3 linked regions of the Struthio camelus genome follow. The protein of the gene in region 3 purifies or fractionates together with the protein of the main gene of each other region. This does not show direct contact. Links are inferred from orthologs where the notes say so. Each region holds a gene or a part of one and is shown on either strand. Other genes may lie near its edges.

Region 1 (6,939 bases), on a different chromosome or scaffold from region 3:
TTCCCTAGTGAGAGTAATGGGGGGACCCCACTGGTGACAGGGACCCTCCCAGGTGCCACCTTACAGCTATAGGGCACTCCCTTAAGCCCCTATGTAGAGGGACACCTGGGACCTCCTCTAAGTCCTTGGAGGTCCCAGGTGCCCCCCTACAACTATGGGTCACCCTCTTAAGTCCTTGTGGGTCCCAGGTGTCCTCCTACACCTGTGGGTCACCCCCTTAAGGCCTTGGAGGTCCCAGGTGTCCTCCTACACCCATGGGTCACCCACTAATTCCTTGGAGGTCCCAGGTGTCCTCCTACACCCGTGGGTCACCCCCTAAGTCCTTGGAGGTCCCAGGTGTCCTCCTACACCCGTGGGTCACCCCCTAAGTCCTTGGAGGTCCCAGGTGTCCTCCTACACCCGTGGGTCACCCCCTAAGTCCTTGGAGGTCCCAGGTGTCCTCCTACACCCGTGGGTCACCCCCTAAGTCCTTGGAGGTCCCAGGTGTCCTCCTACACCCGTGGGTCACCCGCTAAGTCCTTGGAGGTCCCCTGCCCCCACCACCCCCCACCGTCGTCACCGAGGGATCCCCACCGCCGCCGTCCGCCTGTCACCGTCCGCTGTCCCCGCGTCACCCAGGGGTCCCCGCCGCCGTCACCGCGCCAGCCCCGGGGAGGGGTTGTCCCCCACCGCCGCCCCCCGGGTGTCCCCCACCACCGTCCGTCCCCCCACCCCCCCCCGTCACCGGGGCGTCCCCGACCGCCGTCCCGCCGCCGGCTGTGTCCCGTAAACACCCGCCCGGCTCCGACGGTGTCGGGTTCCCCCCCCCCCCGCCACCAAAACACCCCGCGGGCTAAAAATAACGAGGTGGCGACGGCGGTTCGGGGGGGGGATGGGGAGCCCGGACGCCTGGGCCCTCTCCCGTGTCCTTCCCCCCCCCCAGCCGTGACACCCGGCCCCATAGCGGGGGTGGGGGAGGGACCCAGGCGTCCGGGCCCCGTCCGCATGGGCGTTGTCACCCGGCGCTACAGGGTGACGGGACTGTTGTTGGGGTTGCTGGGGGGGGGTTGTCACCCCGGTTGCTATGGCTGGGACAGGTCACGGGTGCTGAGGGGGGGTCGTCACCGCGGTTGCTAGGGCAAGGACAGGTCATGGTTGCTATGGTGAGAATTGTCACCCTGGTTGCTAAGACAAAGGTAGATGAGGGTTGTTGTGGGTACGTTGTCACCCTGGTTGCCGTGGGGGGGATAGCGGTTGTCACGCGGTTGCTAGGAGGTGACGGGGGGCTGTTTGCCTGGTTGCTAAGAGGTGACAGGAACAGTGTTGTGGTTGCTATGGGGGGGTCGTCACCCTGGTTGCTATGGCAGGGATAAGGTGGCTGTTGCTATGGGAGGAGGGTCGTCACCCTGGTTGCTAGGGAGGGGATGAGGTGGTCACCTCGGTTGCTATGGGGAAGGTCAGGGGTCACCACCCCGGTCGCCATGGAGGAGGGGTCAGAGGTCACCACCCCGGTCGCCATGGAGGAGGGGTCAGAGGTCACCACCCCGGTCGCCATGGAGGGGTCAGGGGTCACCACCCCGGTCGCCATGGAGGAGGGGTCAGGGGTCGCCACCCCAGTCGCCATGGAGGGGTCAGGGGTCACCACCCTGGTCACCATGGAGGAGGGGTCAGGGGTCACCACCCCGGTCGCCATGGAGGAGGGGTCAGAGGTCACCACCCCGGTCGCCATGGGGAGGGGTCAGAGGTCACCACCCCGGTCGCCATGGAGGGGTCAGAGGTCACCACCCCGGTCACCATGGAGGAGGGGTCAGAGGTCACCACCCCGGTCGCCATGGAGGAGGGGTCAGAGGTCACCACCCCGGTCGCCATGGAGGGGTCAGGGGTCGTCACCCCGGTCACCATGGAGGAGGGGTCAGAGGTCACCACCCCGGTCGCCATGGAGGAGGGGTCAGGGGTCACCACCCCGGTCGCCATGGAGGGGTCAGAGGTCACCACCCTGGTCGCCATGGGGAGGGGTCAGAGGTCACCACCCCGGTCGCCATGGAGGAGGGGTCAGGGGTCGCCACCCTGGTCGCCATGGAGGGGTCAGGGGTCGTCACCCCGGTCGCCATGGAGGGGTCAGAGGTCACCACCCCGGTCGCCATGGAGGAGGGGTCAGGGGTCACCACCCTGGTCGCCATGGAGGAGGGGTCAGAGGTCACCACCCTGGTCGCCATGGAGGAGGGGTCAGAGGTCACCACCCCGGTCGCCATGGAGGGGTCAGAGGTCACCACCCTGGTCGCCATGGGGAGGGGTCAGAGGTCACCACCCCGGTCGCCATGGAGGAGGGGTCAGGGGTCACCACCCTGGTCGCCATGGAGGAGGGGTCAGAGGTCACCACCCCGGTCGCCATGGAGGGGTCAGAGGTCACCACCCTGGTCGCCATGGGGAGGGGTCAGAGGTCACCACCCCGGTCGCCATGGAGGAGGGGTCAGGGGTCGCCACCCTGGTCGCCATGGAGGGGTCAGGGGTCGTCACCCCGGTCGCCATGGAGGGGTCAGAGGTCACCACCCCGGTCGCCATGGAGGAGGGGTCAGGGGTCACCACCCTGGTCGCCATGGAGGAGGGGTCAGAGGTCACCACCCTGGTCGCCATGGAGGAGGGGTCAGAGGTCACCACCCCGGTCGCCATGGAGGGGTCAGAGGTCACCACCCTGGTCGCCATGGAGGAGGGGTCAGGGGTCACCACCCCGGTCGCCATGGAGGAGGGGTCAGGGGTCACCACCCTGGTCGCCATGGAGGGGTCAGGGGTCGCCACCCCGGTCGCCATGGGGAGGGGTCAGGGGTCGTCACCCCGGTCGCCATGGAGGGGTCAGGGGTCGTCACCCCGGTCGCCATGGAGGAGGGGTCAGAGGTCACCACCCCAGTCACCATGGAGGAGGGGTCAGAGGTCACCACCCCGGTCGCCATGGAGGAGGGGTCAGAGGTCACCACCCCGGTCGCCATGGAGGGGTCAGAGGTCACCACCCTGGTCGCCATGGAGGAGGGGTCAGGGGTCACCACCCCGGTCGCCATGGAGGAGGGGTCAGGGGTCACCACCCTGGTCGCCATGGAGGGGTCAGGGGTCGCCACCCCGGTCGCCATGGGGAGGGGTCAGGGGTCGTCACCCCGGTCGCCATGGAGGGGTCAGGGGTCGTCACCCCGGTCGCCATGGAGGAGGGGTCAGAGGTCACCACCCCAGTCACCATGGAGGAGGGGTCAGAGGTCACCACCCCGGTCGCCATGGAGGAGGGGTCAGAGGTCACCACCCTGGTCGCCATGGGGAGGGGTCAGAGGTCACCACCCTGGTCACCATGGAGGAGGGGTCAGGGGTCGCCACCCCGGTCGCCATGGAGGGGTCAGGGGTCACCACCCTGGTCACCATGGAGGAGGGGTCAGAGGTCACCACCCCGGTCGCCATGGAGGAGGTCAGGGGTCACCACCCCAGTCGCCATGGAGGAGGTCAGAGGTCACCACCCTGGTCGCCATGGAGGAGGGGTCAGGGGTCGTCACCCCGGTCACCATGGAGGAGGGGTCAGAGGTCACCACCCCGGTCGCCATGGCGCCCCCAGGGCCCCCCCCCTCCCGCCGGTTGCTAAGGAAGGGGTCTCCCGCCCTCAGGTTGCTATGGAGGGGGGGGCGGGCCCGTCGCCTTGACAACAGCGCGGCGGCGGCGGCAGCGGCCGGGGTGGGGGGGGTGGGGACTATATTGCCGGCAGCGGCGCGGCGGAGGGATCCGCTGCCTGGCGGCGGCGGTTCCGCGTCCCCAGCGGCGCGCGCGCGCGGGCCCCGCCCCCTCCCCCCCCCCCTCCTCCGCCCACAGCCGCCGGCGCCCGCAGCGAGTCCCGGCGGCGGCGGCGCGATCCGGGGGCCGCGGTGATGCGGCCGCGCAGGCGCAGAGCGCGCGCAGCGGCCAGGCCGGAGCAGGCGGAGGGAGCGCGAGCGCCCGGGGGGCCGGTGCGGCGGGTGCGGTCACGTGGGGGGGGGATGGGGATGGGGGTGGGGGGGGCGGTGTGGGGCCGGGGCCGTGCCGGGAAGGGGGCCTGGTGTGGGGCCGGGGGGGCCGGAGGTGCGGGGAGGGGCCTGGTGGGGGGCCGGGGGGGGCTGTGTGAGGCCTGGGGGGGCTGTGTGGGGCCGGGGGGGGCTGTGGGCGTGGGGAAGAGGCCTGGTGGGGGGCCGGGGGGGGCTGTGTGGGGCCGAGGGAGCTGTAAGGGGCCGGGGGGGGGCTGTGGGTGTGGGGAAGAGGCCTGGTGTGGGGCTGGGGGGGGATGTGTGGGGCTGGGGGGGGCTGGAGGTGCAGGGAGGGGCCTGTTGTTGGGCCGGGGGGGCTGTGTGGGGCCGGGGGGGGCTGTGGGTGTGGGGAAGGGGCCTGTTGTGGGGCTGGGGGGGCCGGAGGTGCGGAGAGGGGCCTGGTGTGAGGCTGTGTGGGGCCGGGGGTGCGGGGGGGGGCCTCTATGGGGCCGGGCGGGGGGCTGTGTGGGGCTGGGGGGGCCGGGAGTGCGGGGAGGGGCCTGGTGTGGGGCTGTGTGGGGTTAGGAGTGCAGGGAGGGGCCTGGTGTGGGGCTGGGGGGGGCTCTGTGGGGCTGGTGGGACTGTGGGTGTGGGGAAGGGGCCTGTTGTTGGGCCGGGGGGGCTGTAGGTTTGGGGAAGGGCCCTGTTGTGGGGCTGTGTGGGGTTAGGAGCGCGGGGAGGAGCCTGGTGTGGGGCTGGGGGGGCTCTGTGGGGCTGGGGGTGTGGGAAAAAGGGGTCCAGGGGGGCTGCGTGGGGCTGGGGGGGGGGGCGCCACTCAGTCACAGGGTTTTTTTGCCCGCAGTCAGCCCCAAAATGACGCAGTTCCTGCCCCCCAACCTGCTGGCCCTCTTCGCCCCCCGCGACCCCATCCCCTACCTGCCCCCCCTGGAGAAGCTGCCCCACGAGAAGCACCACAACCAGCCCTACAGCGGCATCGCCCCCTACATCCGCGAGTTCGAGGTGCGCCCGGCCCCGCGGCCCCCCGCCTGGCCCCCCTATACCACCCCCTATACCACCCCCTATATCACCCCCTATATCCCCCCCCCCGTCTCCGCAGGACCCTCGCGATGCCCCGCCGCCGACCCGCGCCGAGACGCGGGAGGAGCGCATGGAGCGCAAGGTAGGTGCCGCCCGCCCCGCCGTGGGGTTTTGGGGATCCCCCCTGCCCGCCGAGGGGCTGCGGAGCACCGTCGGCCCCCCAAAATCGCGGGATTTTGGGGATTCGGGTTGGGTTTTGGGGCTGCTTCACCTCGACGTCGCTCTCTGCGTGACCTGTGTGGGTTTTGGGGCTCCCCCCGTGCCTGTCATGGGGTTTTGGGGCTCCCCCCGTGCCCGCCGTGGGGTTTTGGGGTTCCCCCCGCCCGCCAAGGGGCCGCGGAGCACCGTCGGCCCCCCAGAATCGCGGGATTTTGGGGATTCGGGTTGGATTTTGGGGCTGCTTCACCTCGACATCGCTCTCTGCGTGACTTGTGTGGGTTTTGGGGCTCCCCCCGTGCCTGTCATGGGGTTTTGGGGCTCCCCCCGTGCCCGCCGTGGGGTTTTGGGGTTCCCCCCGCCCGCCGAGGGGCTGCGGAGCACCGTCGGCCCCCCAAAATCGCGGGATTTTGGGGATTCGGGTTGGATTTTGGGGCTGCTTCACCTCGACGTCGCTCTCTGCGTGACTTGTGTGGGTTTTGGGGCTCCCCCCGTGCCTTTCGTGGGGTTTTGGGGCTCCCCCCGTGCCCGCCGTGGGGTTTTGGGGTTCCCCCCGCCCGCCGAGGGGCCGCGGAGCACCGTCGGCCCCCCAAAATCGCGGGATTTTGGGGATTCGGGTTGGGTTTTGGGGCTGCTGCTTCTTGATGTCGCTCTCTGCGTGACCTGTGTGGGTTTTGGGGCTCCCCCCGTGCCCGCCGTGGGGTTTTGGGGCTCCCCCCGTGCCCGCCGAGGGGCCGCGGAGCACCGTCGGCCCCCCGAAATCGCGGGATTTTGGGGATTCGGGTTGGATTTTGGGGCTGCTTCACCTCGACGTCGCTCTCTGCGTGACCTGTGTGGGTTTTGGGGTCCGCCGTGCCCGCCGTGGGGCTCGGCCTTGGGGTTTTGGGCTCTCCCCACCCGCCGAGGGACCCCGAAGCACCACCGACCCCCAAAATCGCGGGGTTTGGAGGCTGGCGGGCGCCGCGCTCCCCTCTCCGACCCCCTCTCGCTCCCCGCAGAGACGCGAGAAGATCGAGCGGCGGCAGCAGGAGGTGGAAAACGAACTCAAGATGTGTAAGTGGCGCCGGGACAGACGGACGCTTCCGGCTTTTCCGTCGGGGGGGGGCAACCGGGAGCCGTTTTCCGACTGTTTTCCACCCTTTTTCCTGCCCCTAGGGGACCCCCACAACGACCCCAACGCTCAGGGAGACGCCTTCAAAACCCTTTTCGTGGCCAGAGTGGTGAGTGCGGGGCTGGGGGCTGCGAGGGGGCTGGGGAGGGGGCTCCGCCGTCGCCCCCCCCCCAGCCCGCGCTCTCCCCTCCCCGCAGAACTACGACACGACGGAGTCCAAGCTGAGACGCGAGTTCGAGGTCTACGGCCCCATCAAGCGGGTGAGGGAGCCGGGGGGGGGTCCTGGGGGGGCTCTGAGGTCCTCTGTGGCTCGCTGGGGGTCCTGGGGGGCAAGCGGGTTGTTCGGGCTGGGGCAGGCGGCTCGGTGGGGGTCCTGGGGGGCAAGCGGCTGATTCGGGACCAGGGCAGGGTGCTTGGTGGGGGTCCTGGGGGGCAAGCGGCTGATTCGGGACCAGGGCAGGGGGCTCGGTGGGAGTCTTGGGGGGCAAGTGGCTGATTCAGGACCAGGGCAGGGGGCTCGGTGGGGGTCCTGGGGGGCAAGTGGCTGATTCAGGACCAGGGCAGGGGGCTCGGTGGAGGTCCTGGGGGGGCAAGCGGCTAATTCGGGACCAGGGCAGGGGGCTCGGT
Region 2 (7,707 bases), on a different chromosome or scaffold from region 3:
TGTGGAAGGAGAAATTCAAAGGAAGGCTTCTAACAACCGTAAGAGCTAGCTATCAGCCGTTAATAGAGAAGTTGGGGGGGGGGATTTAAATGCAACAACAGCTTTCCAAACAGACACTGCTTGAAGATGCAAGTGTAATAAACTTTCTCTTTAAAAATAAATCAATGCACTTGTCTAGATATTCATATAATGACTGTCAGCAACAGATTAAAAAGTAGAAAAGCTGATCAATGGAAAAATTAGATTAATAACATGCAAGTCTTTAAAGACCTGTGAAGATTCAAATACTATTCTTTGCTATCCAAACAGAAGTCTTACAAACCAAGCTTTTAAGCTGAATATTCCCATTTTAGATCAGATGTATGCACAAACTTCAGCCTAGAGAATCACAAAGTTCTGAACAGACTTACCTGAAATGCACTCAGCAGGAAAGCCTTTGGATGTCAGTATCTCAGCTAGATGTTGAGCCCTAACAGGACATACACAATGAAAACTAAATAAAACTACATGCTTAGCAGTACCAAGACAGTGCTAGGCATAACAGTCAATGTGTCCTTTTTAACAACATGCTGTTCTTTACAGGCAAGGATTACATTCCAAAATTGTCAGTCTCATCTTATGTCCAAACTAGTCAGTCACCTTACAGATTTTGCATCTGTCAGACCAGACTGGGAAAGTACGACAGGATATTAGTTCTCACTGCAGTCTAAACAACGTATGAGGTAACTTCATGCCAAAACATTCCTTTCTTTTCAATACTTCACACTGCTATATTTTACATGTTGTGACTGTATTTCAGATCTGAAATTTGCATTTGGCTTCAGCTGTGTTTTGAGACCTTTATAAAAGATGCTACATGACTGCATATTATAGCCACTGTTTTCAAGCATAGTTTTCTTCAGATTTCATTTCAGATTTATTACCTGCTATGCAAATTTGAGAAGACTAAGGCTTGATTAAATGGAATCTTGCTGAAGAGCTCCTGTAAGTGCTGGACTTTTTCCTCAAATGTCTTATGAGGAAGTGGATGGGAATTGACGATTTTGTAATACTGCTTCAGCCCTGGGCAAGGGGGAAAAAAAAAAGGCCATCAGATTAATGGCTTCAGTAAAAACATGCAATGTGCTATATTGTTGTCAACTTAAATGTAATTGCAGCTAGAAGAAAGACTAAGTTAGAACAAAAACACAGGTACCAAATAAGAACCTACAGGACAATTTTTCTTAAAAGAATGGAACATTTTTGAAGTATAGGAAAACCAAAAAAGTAACTTTATCACTGGTGTTTTAAATACAGCAATATTGCGAATAAACACTTAGTGAACTAACCAACTTATCTATAAAGGGAAATGATAAGGCACTGCAAGTGTTAAGGCATATATTTTGGTTTTATTATACTCCTAATAATCTATTTCATATAAATGTAAATGAGTTTCTTACACTTACCAACGAGACTTGGCTCAGTAGGGTTCAACCTCACAAATGTTGGCTCTCTCATATACCTGGTCAAAGCACTAGCTAATGATTCAGGATAAGTGGCTGAAACAGCCAGCATCTGCTTATTGGCCGGCAGCGAAGAGTAAATCCAACTACAAGAGAAGGACATTTACAAGAAAGACTCATAAATATGCATCTAATCTGCTAAGTGTGGGGGATAAACATTTTTCTTACTTAATTTGTTCCTGAAAGCTGCCTTCTTCTAGAAGCTTGTCTGCTTCATCAAGAATGAAGAGCCGGATACTGGCTGTATTTAAGTAATCCAACTCTATGAGTTGTTTTATCCGACCTACAAAAGATAAAAAAGTAATCTAGGCTTCACAAATATTAACTGAATGATTCTAATCAGGAGACTTATAATATTTAATTTTTTTAATATTAATTTCAATAAATTCTTTTTAAAAGGTTTATTTAAAATAATGTCTCAATAAAAACATTTGGCCTAATTTTTTTTTTAGCAGTGGCCTTTGAGATTGGCCCCATTAGTTAAAAAAAAAAATCAAGATTTCAAAAGCACCAATTATTGTAGTGTGAAAAGTGCGTCAGACTGTATCTGAAGTACACTGAAGCATGTCCATACCTGGAGAGCCAACAGCTATGTGGCATTTCCTTAGCCTTATTTTGTCCTGGTTCAAAGGAGTTCCTCCAATGAAGACATGGCACTCCAAACCTTCCATTTTTATTCCGATGGCTGTGACGACAGCATGAATCTGCACAGCAATCTCTCTTGTCGGAGCCAAGATCAGAATCTTTAAGGGACAAAGAATTAGCCTTGAAAGCAGCAGAATGGTTTAGAAGACAGAAGTACAGCAACCAGTCTTGACGCTACCAGCTTCATGATTTCAAACACCACGTTCTATATAAAAACCTACTAAGAGTTCAAACTCGTTCCTAACTACTAAACTCACACAGCAGCGGTAAAAACTGAAGTAACTTTTTACCACAGCACATGTCACTCATGAGGCAAACTAAAGGATGGCACGTTACAGTAGGGGTGGAAGCAGGAGTTTCACAGATGCGAACGCGCCATCTTCCAAGGCCACCTCAGCGGTTCCCGCTCCCGAGGTGGAGGGAAGGCCCGACCCCGGCAAGGGCCCCGGGGCCGGGGCTCACCTGCGTCGCGGGGTTCTCCAGCAGCAGGGCGTCCAGAGCGATGGCGGAGAACACGCAGGTTTTGCCGGTGCCGGACTTGGCCTGCACGATGAGATCTGGAAGAAAGCGGCCCGAGGGGGTCAGCAGCGCCGCCCCAACGCCCCCTCTCCCCCCCGCTGCCGGCTCGACGCCCCGGCCCGGCCCCGGCCCCTCACCCAGGCCGCAGCGCCCCAGCGGGATGGCCTTCAGCTGGACCGGCGAGGGCCTGTGGAAGCCAGCCGCCTCCAGCCCCGCCAGCACCGGCGCCGACAGCAGCAAGGAGCCGAAGTCGCTGGGGCCCCCGGGCACCAGGACGTCGCGCGTGCGGAACCGGCCCTCAGGAGGCGGAGGCGAGCCCGCGGGCGCCGCCATCTTGCGAGGCGGGACGGCGAAGAGGCAGCGCGGCCCCAGACGCGCCTTTACGCGCCGCCCGGGCCTGCGCACGCGCCGCGGGGGGAGAGGGGCGGGGCCGCCGGGCGCCAGGGGGCGGCGCGGATTGGCCGCCGGGGCCCGTTTGAGGGCGGGGCCGTTAACGGTCGCGGCGCGCCGCGCGCCCCCTCACGGAGCGCGGCCCGGGCCTGGCGGCGGTGCGGGGAGCGCGGAGGCTCCGCCGTGGGGCCCCGCAGCCTCCCGTGCCCACGGCTGCCAGGCCCGGGCCGGTTAGCGGTACCCGCCGCGGCCCCGTGGCAGAGCGGGGGCGGCCGCCCCCTCGGAGCACCCAGGCAGTGCACGCTGCCGCCGGCGAGGTTTTTGGCGTAAAAAACCCTCCAGAATTAAAATTCTACGAACTGCAAAAACAAATACAAAAAAAAAAATCGTTCTCCGTGTGGCCACGTGACAGAAATGATTGATTACACAATTTAGCCATGTGGCGTGATCCCTCGGGGCAAAAGCTGCGTTTGCTTTGCTCCGTCTGAAATCGCAGGCTCTTCATTACTATCCAAAGCAAGGCAATAAATAATGCGCTCGGCCTGGCGTACAGTTTATTTCAGGCTGATAGGCGCTTTACCAAAAATTTGACTCTTGTGATTGATGTGGTGGAAAAGGATATTGCCTTCTTAAAGACGAGTGGGTGGGATTTAGATCTTAGAACAGTCCCTGTAGGAAAACTCGAAATGCCCCGAGTTACCTGCCACAGCAGATGTTCCCCTCGGCTGGCAGGTACGTCAAATGGGACCTGGAACAATCTGTATGCAGTTTTAAATGACTTACCTTGAATTTTCAGTAGAGTAAACCACAGATGAATTTCTGGTTTACCAAAATCAGCAGAAAACGATCCCACTGATTTTGACTGAATTTCACATTCCAAGCGCGAATACTAATTCTCACCATGGCTCTATCTGTGCAGCATGTTTGTATCCTGTTTTTCTAAGGCCATTCTCCACTAACTTTTTCTTATCTAGTACCACTGCTTGCTCTCAGTAGGGATATCTCTTTCCTTCTTTTTTAAGACTTCAGAATCCACTCCTTATTCCTTAACGTCGTTGCTCCCTCCTCTGCCTCAGCTTCCCTATATGATGCTGCACGCTGTCATCTTTTCCTCCAGCAGCATTTTCTTCCTCATTTTTTCCCCCATTCTGTCTACAAGTGATCTTAGTATCTGATTCTGTCTACAAGTGATCTTTAGAAAAATTGTTTCTTGCTTATAGGTGAAGCTATGAGATAACCTTCAAACCCTTCTAACACCACTGCATTTCAGAGTTATCCTAACACGCAATATGAAGCTTCGTGGTCTGTACAATATTTGAAATAGACTTTGTGCAGTAAAATCTTACTGACTGGTGTATTTTCACATATTCCCATAACACAGGTAACCCACCCATCTCTGACTCTGATGAACATGCCATTCCACAGGTAGCTGGTCACCGACACAGCATATCTAGTTGAGTTTTTCCTAAACCTCGTAGTTCAGTCATAATAAGGAATAAGGTACCTTAAAACAGATGGAAACAGATACACGCTCCAAGAGAGGACAAGGTGCTTGCAAACGAGTTATCTGTAAAAGATCAGGATAGGGGACAGATTATGCCTCCCTGCCAGTCTACGGCAGGTTTGATGCGTTTAGTCCAGAAGCAGACTGTCTGCTTTGGGGGCTAATAATTACAACAAATCTTTGCAGCTAGCTTCCTGTTTTCATTTTGTTTTGTTTTGTTTTCTCCATTGACATTAGCATTTCCTGTTTACTGCAATAATTAGGGCTGTGACTCCCCGCTGTGTATCTCGTAGGTGCATTTAGCCACATAGAGGCAATTAATGATTATGTCTAGGAAAAAGTGATGCTTTAGATGGAGACAGATAAACCTATTCAGCTAAGCAACCTTTCATCCACTCCTGAGATCATTTGTCTTAGGAACAGCACAACAGCTTAACCTTACAAATATTACAGAGGATGAAACCTCTATAATACCTGAGCAGACACACTACAGTGAGATCTGGAGGCCTTGCTGCAAGACCAGTGCAGGAGCTTTAATTAGCCAATGAGTCTGAACCATAGAGAGAAAACGTGGCCCAAGGCATGTAGGAGGATGAACTGAGCACAGGGCGGAGTGAAAGAAGGCACCAGGCCAGAAATGGGAGGAGGAGGACACACGAGAATAGTCAGAAGAGAGGAGTGAGCATAGAGCGAGAGGGAGTCATAAGAGGAAATGAAGGCAGATGGGTCAGCAAAGGAATGATGTAGAAGGCTGCGTAAGAGGATGAGAAGTACAAAACTGATCGCAGTGCCAAAACAGCTTCAGCAAGCTTCTTGACAGGAGGTGCCCTGAGTATCCATAGCTGTATTAGTTGGGGGAGAAAGCAGTCACCAGTAATCTCTAAGCTATCCTACTGTAAGAAAATGGCACGAACATTGTGTTCTGACCCCTCTAGTTTCAGCCTTTGTTCTACCACCCTGACAACAGAAATGAGTTTCTTGTTAAACACTCTAAGTCTGGGATGCAGTTATATTGTGTACAAAAACAAGATCTAAAAGTCAAAGTGCTAGGAAAAATTAATAGTACAGCATTAACTTCAGCAAAGGCCAAATCTATTAATCTCTTGTATATGCATTACTTACTACCTTCTGTAGACTGCTTATTTTAAATTGTGTGTGGTTTCATTATACATATCAGTTTTTATTGTCATAGCCCTTCAGAGGATCTGGACATGCAGCTCCCATTCGTTGTAAGGGGATGTGAAAAATCTCAACAGTGGCTTCCAGTGTATGAGTACATACACTGGTTCATTATTCCTACATTGCCAGGCAGCCTAAATGAATTTTAAAGGCTCTTAGCGTAGTACACTCTCTGCGACTCCTTTGCAATTCCATCATATTACTGATGGGGAAAAAAAGTCTGTTTTTTTTTAATGATCTTTTTACATGAATATTTGAGTACCAACCAAGACTGGGGCCCCATTGTGTCAAGCACAATACAAAAAAGAATATACAGTTTCTGCTTTGGAGAGCTTATCTCTACGAGGTCAGGACAAACCAGATGGTAGGGAGGAGAACTCTGCCACAGAGCAGAGGTAACAGGATAGCTATTCACAAGCATTCTGTTAGTTCCAATTATTTTTCAATTTTTAGGTGGATATTCCCAGTTGGTCCTAAAGGGGAAACAAGTCTCTAACATGAGAGAATTGTCTCCGGATAAATCTGGGAATGGAGACAGACAAGGAGACCTGGACATAACAAATGGTTTGATTAGAGACAGCCTCTCATAACCCTTTTAAATTGATCTGATTTGAACAGACAATGAAGAGCAGTGGGAAGTATCTGCACCCTACCTGGGGGAAGGACAGGGAAGAAGTGATAAAGCAACTGCAGCAGGCATGGATATAGCAGCAAGGATAGCAGGCATGTTGTAATGCAACTCAGGTGATTTGGTTACAGAAGTCATCGTTCTCTGAGATGCATTGTTAATAGGACATTGAGATGCACTACCTTAATTCCAAAGATGCTGCTGTTTATTTAATTTTCTCAATCTCCGTCAGATGCAGGAGGGAGAGGTTCCAAACCATCTCAATGTCTATGCTGAGTAGCACTATGACACCACGACTGGCAGATTTATTGTTCCTCTCCCTTTGTTTTTGGCCCTCACTGGTTGTGCTGTGTCAAATTGAGGACATGCTCCTCATGCATGAGGGGGACATGCAGTCCCCCTCATTCCCCGCAATGTGCATACAGCCTGTAGCTCAAAGTTGGCAGATAGGCTCTTTTGCATGATTTCTCAAGTAAATCTGTGGACAGTTGCTAATTCACATTAATAAGCCCTCCCAGCCATTTCATGTGGTCTACTGTGTTCCGCAGCACCTGATGTTTCACATAAGCTCCAGCTCCAGAAGCGTCTGCAGGTCATGCGTACCTGCTCAGGTACAAAAACGAGCTTAACTCTGCCTCTATACCATGCCAGGAGCCCTGGTAGATGATGATGTTATCGAGGCATGACTCAGGATGAGACTAGACTGTCTGTGTCTGATAGACCAGATGCTCAGATCCTAAAAGCTTTCCCTCTTGAGCTATCTCAGTTCATCTAACGAAAGGTTTTGCTTCTCCCTTAAACCTTACACCTGTAGAAGATTATGACTCTACTGCTACTAACTTTGTTTTAAAATCTCTGAATATATATATTCTGCCATGAGTCAAAGGAGTGCCTTTGCCTCTGGGTTTCAGATCCAGAAAATACACACGGTGTCTCACAGTAAAATGCGAGTTATCAGGTGCATTTTGATTTAATCAAATAGTTTTGTAGAACAAATAACTCACAGTCAAAACTACAGAGTGGTGCAAACTGAGATACTTCCAGTCTCTCTGTACAACCATGCAAATGTGCTAAGGGCTCACTATCTGACCTCTGAGGCCCCAGCTCAGTTTGCTGCCCTGTACTCGTACATCGCACAAAGCTCCATGCAAGAGGGCACTGCCTGTGTGCAGCAGCTGGCAGGATTATTGCCTGGTTCGCGAGTCACAGCATGTGCACCGTGACAGTCTTTTGCTGCATTTGAAATGGAGACAAATGCTAATTCCCAGGAACTTGCTCTTCTTCCTGCAGGGAAGACGACTGCTTTCTGTCCCAATTCTATCAGAAACTTTGCTCTCTAG
Region 3 (7,064 bases):
CTTGATGGAGCCCAACAGGTCCGTTAGGCTGCTGCAGTACAGCTGGACCACGTGGAGCCAGGCCTCTGCCGGCAGCCAAGTGGAGCAGCTGGAGCTGCAGAGGAGCTGGAAGCCTCGGAGGAAAAGCACAGAGAACTGGAGGTAGTGGGCAAAAGGCCGGAGGTTGAGCAGGGGCATGTACTGGACGTACTCCAGCGTGTACGGCACATGTAAGACTTGCCTCTGCAGCAAGCTTTGGACCACATGCGCCAGCCTCTTCCATTCGCTAAGGCTGCACCAAGGGAGGACCTGTATGAGGGCCACCAGGAACCCTTTGCTGAAGAGATTCACTTCTTCAGGGTTGTCCACGTTGACCGTGAGGAGCGTCAGCATCGTCTCCCTGAGCGCTGTGGACACGCAGCAGCACTCCATCCATGCCAAGAGCCCGCTGCCCGGCCCGTAGGCTGGTAAAGGCCGGGACGTCCACTCGTCCTCTGGGAGCTTGCAGATCTCAAATAGCGTCTCTGGGACCTCATTCTTGAAATGGTCTCCGTAAAGCTTCTTCAGGTGGAGACCAACAGTCCAGTCCAGTGATGCCAACTTCCTATGAAGCCAAGCCAGCGACTGGACCCACACCTCAGGGGATGGGGCGGCTTCTGGTCTTACCACTTCACAGAGTTGGGAGAGGGTGTTCACCACCAGGTCTTTGGTCTCCAGTGAAGGGAAGTGCTGGTCCCTGGGCCGATGCCAGTACCTTGTGTAACCATCCAGAAGCTTGCAGAGGCTGAGGAGGAGCGGGAATGGGTAGCAGGACTTGATCCAGTGCTCTTCTGGATAGGACTGCATCCCCAAAACCTTACTGAGGATCTGCAGGCTCAGCTCAATTTGAGCGCAGTCTGATTTCAAACAGGGAAGGATAAAGGCTTTAGTCACCTCTGCAGGTGACACAAGTGGAGCTGCTGAGCTTGGCTGCATGAGAAAGGCCAAGAACTCAAGAAACTGTTCCTCTTCTCTCGCTGTGGAAAGCTTCCCCCATACCGCCTCCTTCAGACACCTCACTATCAGACTGCGTGGCCTGCCTGGATCATCGTGGGTCTCCAGGAAGCTCAGTGCTGGGAAGGAGCAGAGGATTTGGGCAAGGAACTGGTGTGTTCCTAGGTTGACAACAGCAAGATTACAAACCTTCTTCACGGTGGCCTCAGGGTACAGCAGAGTGAGCCTGGCCACAGAAGCCACAGCCCTGGACAGGCCTTGATCGGACACGCTCTGCGTTATCTGGTTGAACGTCACATTCAGATCCTCCTGGAATCCCTCCATGACAACCTGCAAGTTCAGGGACAGACCCGGACCACCCCAGGAAGCCAGGACACCTGAGAGGACTTCATTCTTGTCAGTTAATGAAAGCTCAGTGTAACACTCCAGGATGGCTCTGGTCACTTGCATCTGCAACTCTCGGGCCTCCCTGTCTTGGGAGGACACAGTAAAGTTCACCACAGTATCCAGCAATTTCAAAACTAGCTCTGGTTTCTGGAAGAGAGTTTTGTTTTTCACAAGGCAGTCAACCCAGTCCTTTGAAAAGGCCCAGGTCTGTTCAGAAGCAAAAACGGAGCACATCTCCACGTGCCGGTCCAGCTTCCGCTCAATGATTGTCATGGCAACTGAAGAGACAAGGCTGGTGTCTGAATCCTTGCTCTTCAGACTGGTGCTGATCTTCTTGAGAAAGTCCCCGATGATCTGTGTCAGCTCTAGCACTACGGACTTCTCGTCCTCGCTCAGGTCTCTAGTCTCTGAGAAGCAAACCAGGTTCTTTCTGAGGGTGGTAAGCGTATCAAGGAGCCGGTAGCTCTCATAGCAGAGCTCCTCAGAGTTGTTCAGAGTGCCCTGCAGCTCCTCTCCCCAGGCATGCAGCAAGGTGCGGAGAAAGTCCAAGCCAGCAAAGAGCTCCTCGTCAGAGAGCTTGACGACGGACAAGAGGCTCATGCTTCTCTCAGCCTCCCTCACTTTCTCGTCCAGCCCTCTCCGGTGGTACCGGCTTTCAGCATCGCTGTTCCAGAGGCTGACCACGGAGCTGACCTTGTCCAGGTACTCAGCAACGGGGAGGGACCTGCCCTCTGGCTCCAGCTCGGTGAACACAGAGAGCAGCTCCGCCAGGTTGGCCAAGGCGTAGCACCTCATGCGGGGCAGGGTGATGCTCCTGTAGGTCTGTTTCAGCCCCTCTATCAGGACCACGAGCAGGCTGGCGGCAGCCGGCGGGCCAGTCACAGAGACAGGGTCGCTCTTGAACCTCTTGGGGGGCTGGAGCCCGTCGTCCGGAGAGGACTCGGACCCGTGCTGACGGATGAGAGCGCTGAACGTCGAGGCCGTCCCGTCCTCCTGCTCCTCCTTGTGCTTCATCACCTCCCACCACACGTCCAGGAAGAAGCTGACGTCCGCCGGGGAGGTCTCGCTGGCGACGTACTCCACCAAGCGCTCCAGCTCGCCCCGGCGCAGGTGGCGGGGCAGCGCCAGCAGCAGCTGCACGAAGAGCCGGGGCACGTTGAGGGCCTTGGCCAGCTCGAAGAGGACGGTGTGGTTAACGTCGGGGATCATCCGCCCGACGGAGAAGAAGGCGTCCTCCCGCCAGCCCCGGTCCAGCGAGGCGGGCGGGGGGCCGGGCAGCAGCACCTTGGCCCACACGATGGCGACGGCCTGTTTCTTCCAGAGGCCGGGGCGCGGCGGGGCGGGGCGGCGGGCGCCGATCTCGCGCAGGGCGTCGGCGATGGGCGGCCCCACCAGCGGCCAGTCGGCCTTGCGCAGCTCCCGCAGCGGCCGCGGCTGGAAGAGCTTGGCGGCCAGCAGGAACCCGCCGTGCAGGATGGCCATCTCCTCGCACACGCCCCACGGCCCTGCGCGGGGACACGCGGCGCACCGTTACCCCGGCCCGGCCCGGCCCGACGCCCCCCCCCCTCCTCCTCCTCCGCCCCCCGCGGCCGCCCGCGCTCACCTGCCTCCATGGCGGCCCCGGCCCGCGCCCCGCGCCGCCGCGCTCTGTGACGCCAGCGCGCCGCCGCCGCCTCAGCGCCCCCTGGCGGCGCGGGGGAGCTGCCGCCGCTGCGCTCCGCCGCCTCAGCGCCCCCTGGCGGCGCGGGGGAGCTGCCGCCGCTGCGCTCCGCCGCCTCAGCGCCCCCTGGCGGAGCGGGGGAGCTGCCGCCGCTGCGCTCCGCCGCCTCAGCGCCCCCTGGCGGAGCGGCGGAGCTGCCGCTGCCGCCGCCGCCGCCGCCTGGCCGGTTCCCGGACAGGGGGGGTGTCACATCCCCCCCCCCCCCCGGGGCAGTAGGAAACCTTTAACAGCTCTGGACGATCTATTTGGGGTCGTGCTACTTAAAAGCTACTTTTCGGACGTGAAGAACTCCTCTCTGCATCTGCCGTGGTTTAAACCCGCGCACGGGAAGGCTCCCCCGCTGCCGGTGCAGCCCCGGGCGGTGCCTGGGCTTCCCACCAGGCCAGGCAGCGAGTGGAACTTTTTTCCCACCCTTTTGACACAACTTTGCAATGATTTTTTTTGTTTGCATGAAAGGCGTTGAGAATTACATTAAAACTGGCAGAACATTGCATAAGAATGCCCTGCAGGGTAGCTGAAAGAACAGATCTCAGATCATCGTCACCACAAAGCACTTTTATTCATTTAATTGCACGTTTTCAAAACAACAGGCTGTGGAGATACAATTTAAGTGTAATATTTTTACTTGATCAGTAGTTGGCTTAATCGAATGAAACAAAAAGCGCAAACAACATATTGAGGATTTTTTCCCATTTTAATTCAGCATATTCCTCGTAAGCATTTAAATTGTCTCAGTGATACACAACTGCTAATGCTGTTGATTTTGCCTCCTTTTTTCTGTAAAACTTATTTCAGGTTTTCATGAAGAAAGATTAAAAGCCAGCTAGCCTGCCGAACATGAACAATGCTAGTAATGAGTCCCTGTATTCCCAAGTTCTCATTCCACTAGCAAAAGCAGAGCGACTTTATTCCAACCCATAAACCCATAACCATTGCTTCCAAAAGGTAATTTAACATCAAAGCTAACTGCAAAGCCATGTGTACGTATCTGAAGTTACTTCCTGGCCCCTCAGGGGAAGGCACGGAGCTGTTGCACCCCCCGAGGCACAGCCAGGCTCCAGCCTGGAACGTGCGGTGCTGTGTGCTGCGCTGAGCAGCTACGCAGGCAGGGGCTGGGTACGGGATCGAATACATCCAGTGGATTCACGTAGTATGACCCCAGTGAGAAATCCATCCAGCTTTCCAAAGTGCATACTTCACCGTGAAAGCCAGGCAAAGATTTTGGAATGAAAATAATTTTCCAGACTAGAATATTCACATGCATCACCAGGATAGTTACCCTGTTCTCAATAAATAAGAGTCCGCTATCATAGCTACAAAATGGTCAAGTTCTCTGTAGACACCCCCTCAGCTTCAGCTTGAAACTTCATCACCAAAGCAGGACAGCTGCCATATTCAGGGCCAGAGCTACCTGAAAACCTATTTTCTGAGCAGCAAATCCAGGTTGGCCAAACCCAATTAACTGGAGGACTAGATAGTCTAATAAATCCACAGATTCTAATGAATCTACAGATTTATTATAGAATAAGCTTTAATAGTACCTGCTCTCTGACTCTACCATTGTTGATAAGCTTTTGACATGGAAATTTTCTCCTTAACTTATCCCATCCATTAATGGGAACAGAATAGGCCTTTTCCACGTAATATTCTTATGTTACTATTGACCTCACGTTTTGCTTTAATAGTGAATGTTTGAGAACATCTGTAAATAGCTTTCATTTCATCCACAAACTTAATTCCTATTTTAATTCTTTAATGAATATAGCCAATTAATTAGGGTCCCACTTTTTAATTATCTTTTAATACCTTTGTTTCAATACATCAGAAATTTGCCTCTGGTGACATTAAACAGGAAAACCGTAGAAGCGTTATTCACTCACAACCATGGCAGAAGGCTAACTGAGGACAGCTGCTCACAGCACGCTAACAGCTGTTAACAGCGCACTACACAAGATATCAGAGAGCTGTAGCAGTGTTAGAGGAGAAACTCTGGGCCTCCTTTTCAAGTCTAACAGGAATAGAGAAATGTGAGAGATTTTCTACCTATTAACTCATGGTTCCTGTTTTTGAAGCCATATGCTCAATCTGTTCCTTACTGTACAACCCAATTTTTTGCATACATTTGAAGGAGCACGTAGCATTTACTGGAAAGGAGAGATTAGCATTAAGAGATACAAGCTCAAAAAAACCCCCAGCATTACACTGGCCTCTTATTGAAGAGGATAACACAACACGTTACATATTATAGGCATTTCACTCAGATGGCAACCAAGGCACAAATGATCAGACGAGTCTTATTCTCCAACTAAGCAGAAGCCTTCTTCATGTTTTTCTCTGCAAACCATTTGTCACTCTTGTCTGCTGCCATGGCCTGTACAAAGAAAAATTTTAGTATTTAGAACAGAAGCCCATTCAGCCAGACACCTGGTTGCTGACATTCACCAGCCTGCCCCACAAATTTAGAAAGCATCCTTATAATCAATCTAGTTCTGAAGCAAGCTATTCTGCTGAGGAAACCTCATGGTTTCTGCCAGTGCCTCTCTGTCGCGGAAGGATCTTCAACTGCAGGGATGTTACTGCAGCTGACAAATCATTTTCTGCAGTAACTTGCACCAAAGTGTTGTTTGACAGGTCCAGCAAGATGCACAACCTCTTGGCTGCCCTGAGAACAAGGCTGGAAAACTAGCCAGGACACAGAAGTGAACTCTAAAAATTGATTTGCTTTCCTTAGCTGGAAAGGAGACTGAGATAAAACACCACATGACTTGCTTCTCTGAAAAAACTCCATTTGGAACTAAAGGGAGCTTCCTTGGAAAGGAAATTAAATTCTACTGGGCGTCTAACTGATCAGTATGAAAACTCATGCATAGACAGCATTACTTACATCATCTAACAGTTTATCACCATTAGGATCCACCTTGGACAGATCTCTAAATGCTTCATCTCCCACAAAGCAGATTTCATGGCCATCCTAAACCAAGTTTAACAGCACAGTAAGTTAGATAACTGGGAGACAGATATTTAAATCAAATCTGTCAGTCTTGCCAATATTACTCACAGGATCCGCCAAAATAATCACTTGCACTGTGGCTTTGCCAGGTGTGTCCAAGCTAACTAGAGGTGTTAAAATTTTCTGATGCTCCTTTTTCATGAGTGCTTCAATGTTTGGCAACTGAAACAGAAAAGAAACAAGACCAGCCCTAGTCAGTTGAAGATCAGATGCATTCAGGTTGTTCTCGTTTACAGTTTCCTGTTAGCCCGTTTCTCCATTGTGTTCTCACTGCAAGAAATAGGAACAGAACATCTGTTCAGTGTTACTTTGTTCACATCTGAGATATTTTGTTAATACCAGAAAATAATCTCCTAGTAGCCAGCTGGCCAAATGAAAGGGGGAAGAGAAAAAAGATTACCTCTTCCTTTGCGCAGGAAAAGGCAATCCGCCCAAATGCCGTCCCATGATCCACTGCTCCTCCAACGTTCTTCAACTCCAATTTACACTGGAAGAGGAAAAAAATAGCCTAATTTGCAAGGACACTATTCTCAGCGCTACACTTAACTCCAGCTTTTCACTGATACCGATGATGTCAAAACTACCCACATACATATTTCCCAATGAGTTAGAACTACCAGAGCAAGCCATAGCTTTTGGTTAAAAAATGAATTAAGTGCACACAAGCACACACACACACAAACAATCCAAAGTAGGAAAGACTGAGAATTGTTGACAGTTTCAGCCTTTCTTTGCAAAACATTGAACAAGTAAGTTCACTTGCAGGTAAGTGTCTCAACGGAACAGTCAACTTGTACCACTGATTTCTATTTGTATAAGCATTCTGGGCAATAATTCACAAAGGAGAAATGCTTTTAACAAATCATTTAAAATGTAAACCCAGAAGCATTAACAACCGTGAGAATCTCTTCTCTTGCAACGTGTAAGAGGTAAGATAGAAGCAGGATGCACTAATAAAAGCTAATGTTGAAAAGG

What was found.
Region 1: the proteins of GEMIN4 (region 3) and SNRNP70 purify together in Homo sapiens (affinity purification with mass spectrometry; 5 studies listed by BioGRID and IntAct, counting the BioPlex papers as one, with this or other methods). This does not show direct contact. The link is inferred for Struthio camelus from reciprocal best matches to the Homo sapiens genes GEMIN4 and SNRNP70.
Region 2: the proteins of GEMIN4 (region 3) and DDX20 purify together in Homo sapiens (co-immunoprecipitation; 7 studies listed by BioGRID and IntAct, counting the BioPlex papers as one, with this or other methods). This does not show direct contact. The link is inferred for Struthio camelus from reciprocal best matches to the Homo sapiens genes GEMIN4 and DDX20.

The regions. Positions count from the first base shown.
Region 1 is NW_027182627.1:9,730-16,668, reverse strand, and holds the start of SNRNP70 (U1 small nuclear ribonucleoprotein 70 kDa), read left to right. Parts: upstream 1-3,838; 5' UTR 3,839-3,962; intron 3,963-4,809; 5' UTR 4,810-4,820; coding exon 4,821-4,967; intron 4,968-5,064; coding exon 5,065-5,127; intron 5,128-6,199; coding exon 6,200-6,254; intron 6,255-6,356; coding exon 6,357-6,421; intron 6,422-6,509; coding exon 6,510-6,572; intron 6,573-6,939. UniProt on the Homo sapiens protein: Component of the spliceosomal U1 snRNP, which is essential for recognition of the pre-mRNA 5' splice-site and the subsequent assembly of the spliceosome. SNRNP70 binds to the loop I region of U1-snRNA.
Region 2 is NC_090965.1:9,049,523-9,057,229, reverse strand, and holds the start of DDX20 (probable ATP-dependent RNA helicase DDX20), read right to left. Parts: upstream 3,080-7,707; 5' UTR 3,000-3,079; coding exon 2,804-2,999; intron 2,705-2,803; coding exon 2,610-2,704; intron 2,246-2,609; coding exon 2,077-2,245; intron 1,786-2,076; coding exon 1,671-1,785; intron 1,589-1,670; coding exon 1,446-1,588; intron 1,063-1,445; coding exon 924-1,062; intron 470-923; coding exon 411-469; intron 1-410.
Region 3 is NC_090957.1:18,138,234-18,145,297, reverse strand, and holds the start of GEMIN4 (gem-associated protein 4), read right to left. Parts: upstream 3,038-7,064; 5' UTR 2,973-3,037; coding exon 2,963-2,972; intron 2,865-2,962; coding exon 1-2,864. Other genes in the region: GLOD4 (glyoxalase domain-containing protein 4), read right to left, coding at 5,385-5,450, 5,964-6,050, 6,138-6,251, 6,490-6,576. UniProt on the Homo sapiens protein: The SMN complex catalyzes the assembly of small nuclear ribonucleoproteins (snRNPs), the building blocks of the spliceosome, and thereby plays an important role in the splicing of cellular pre-mRNAs.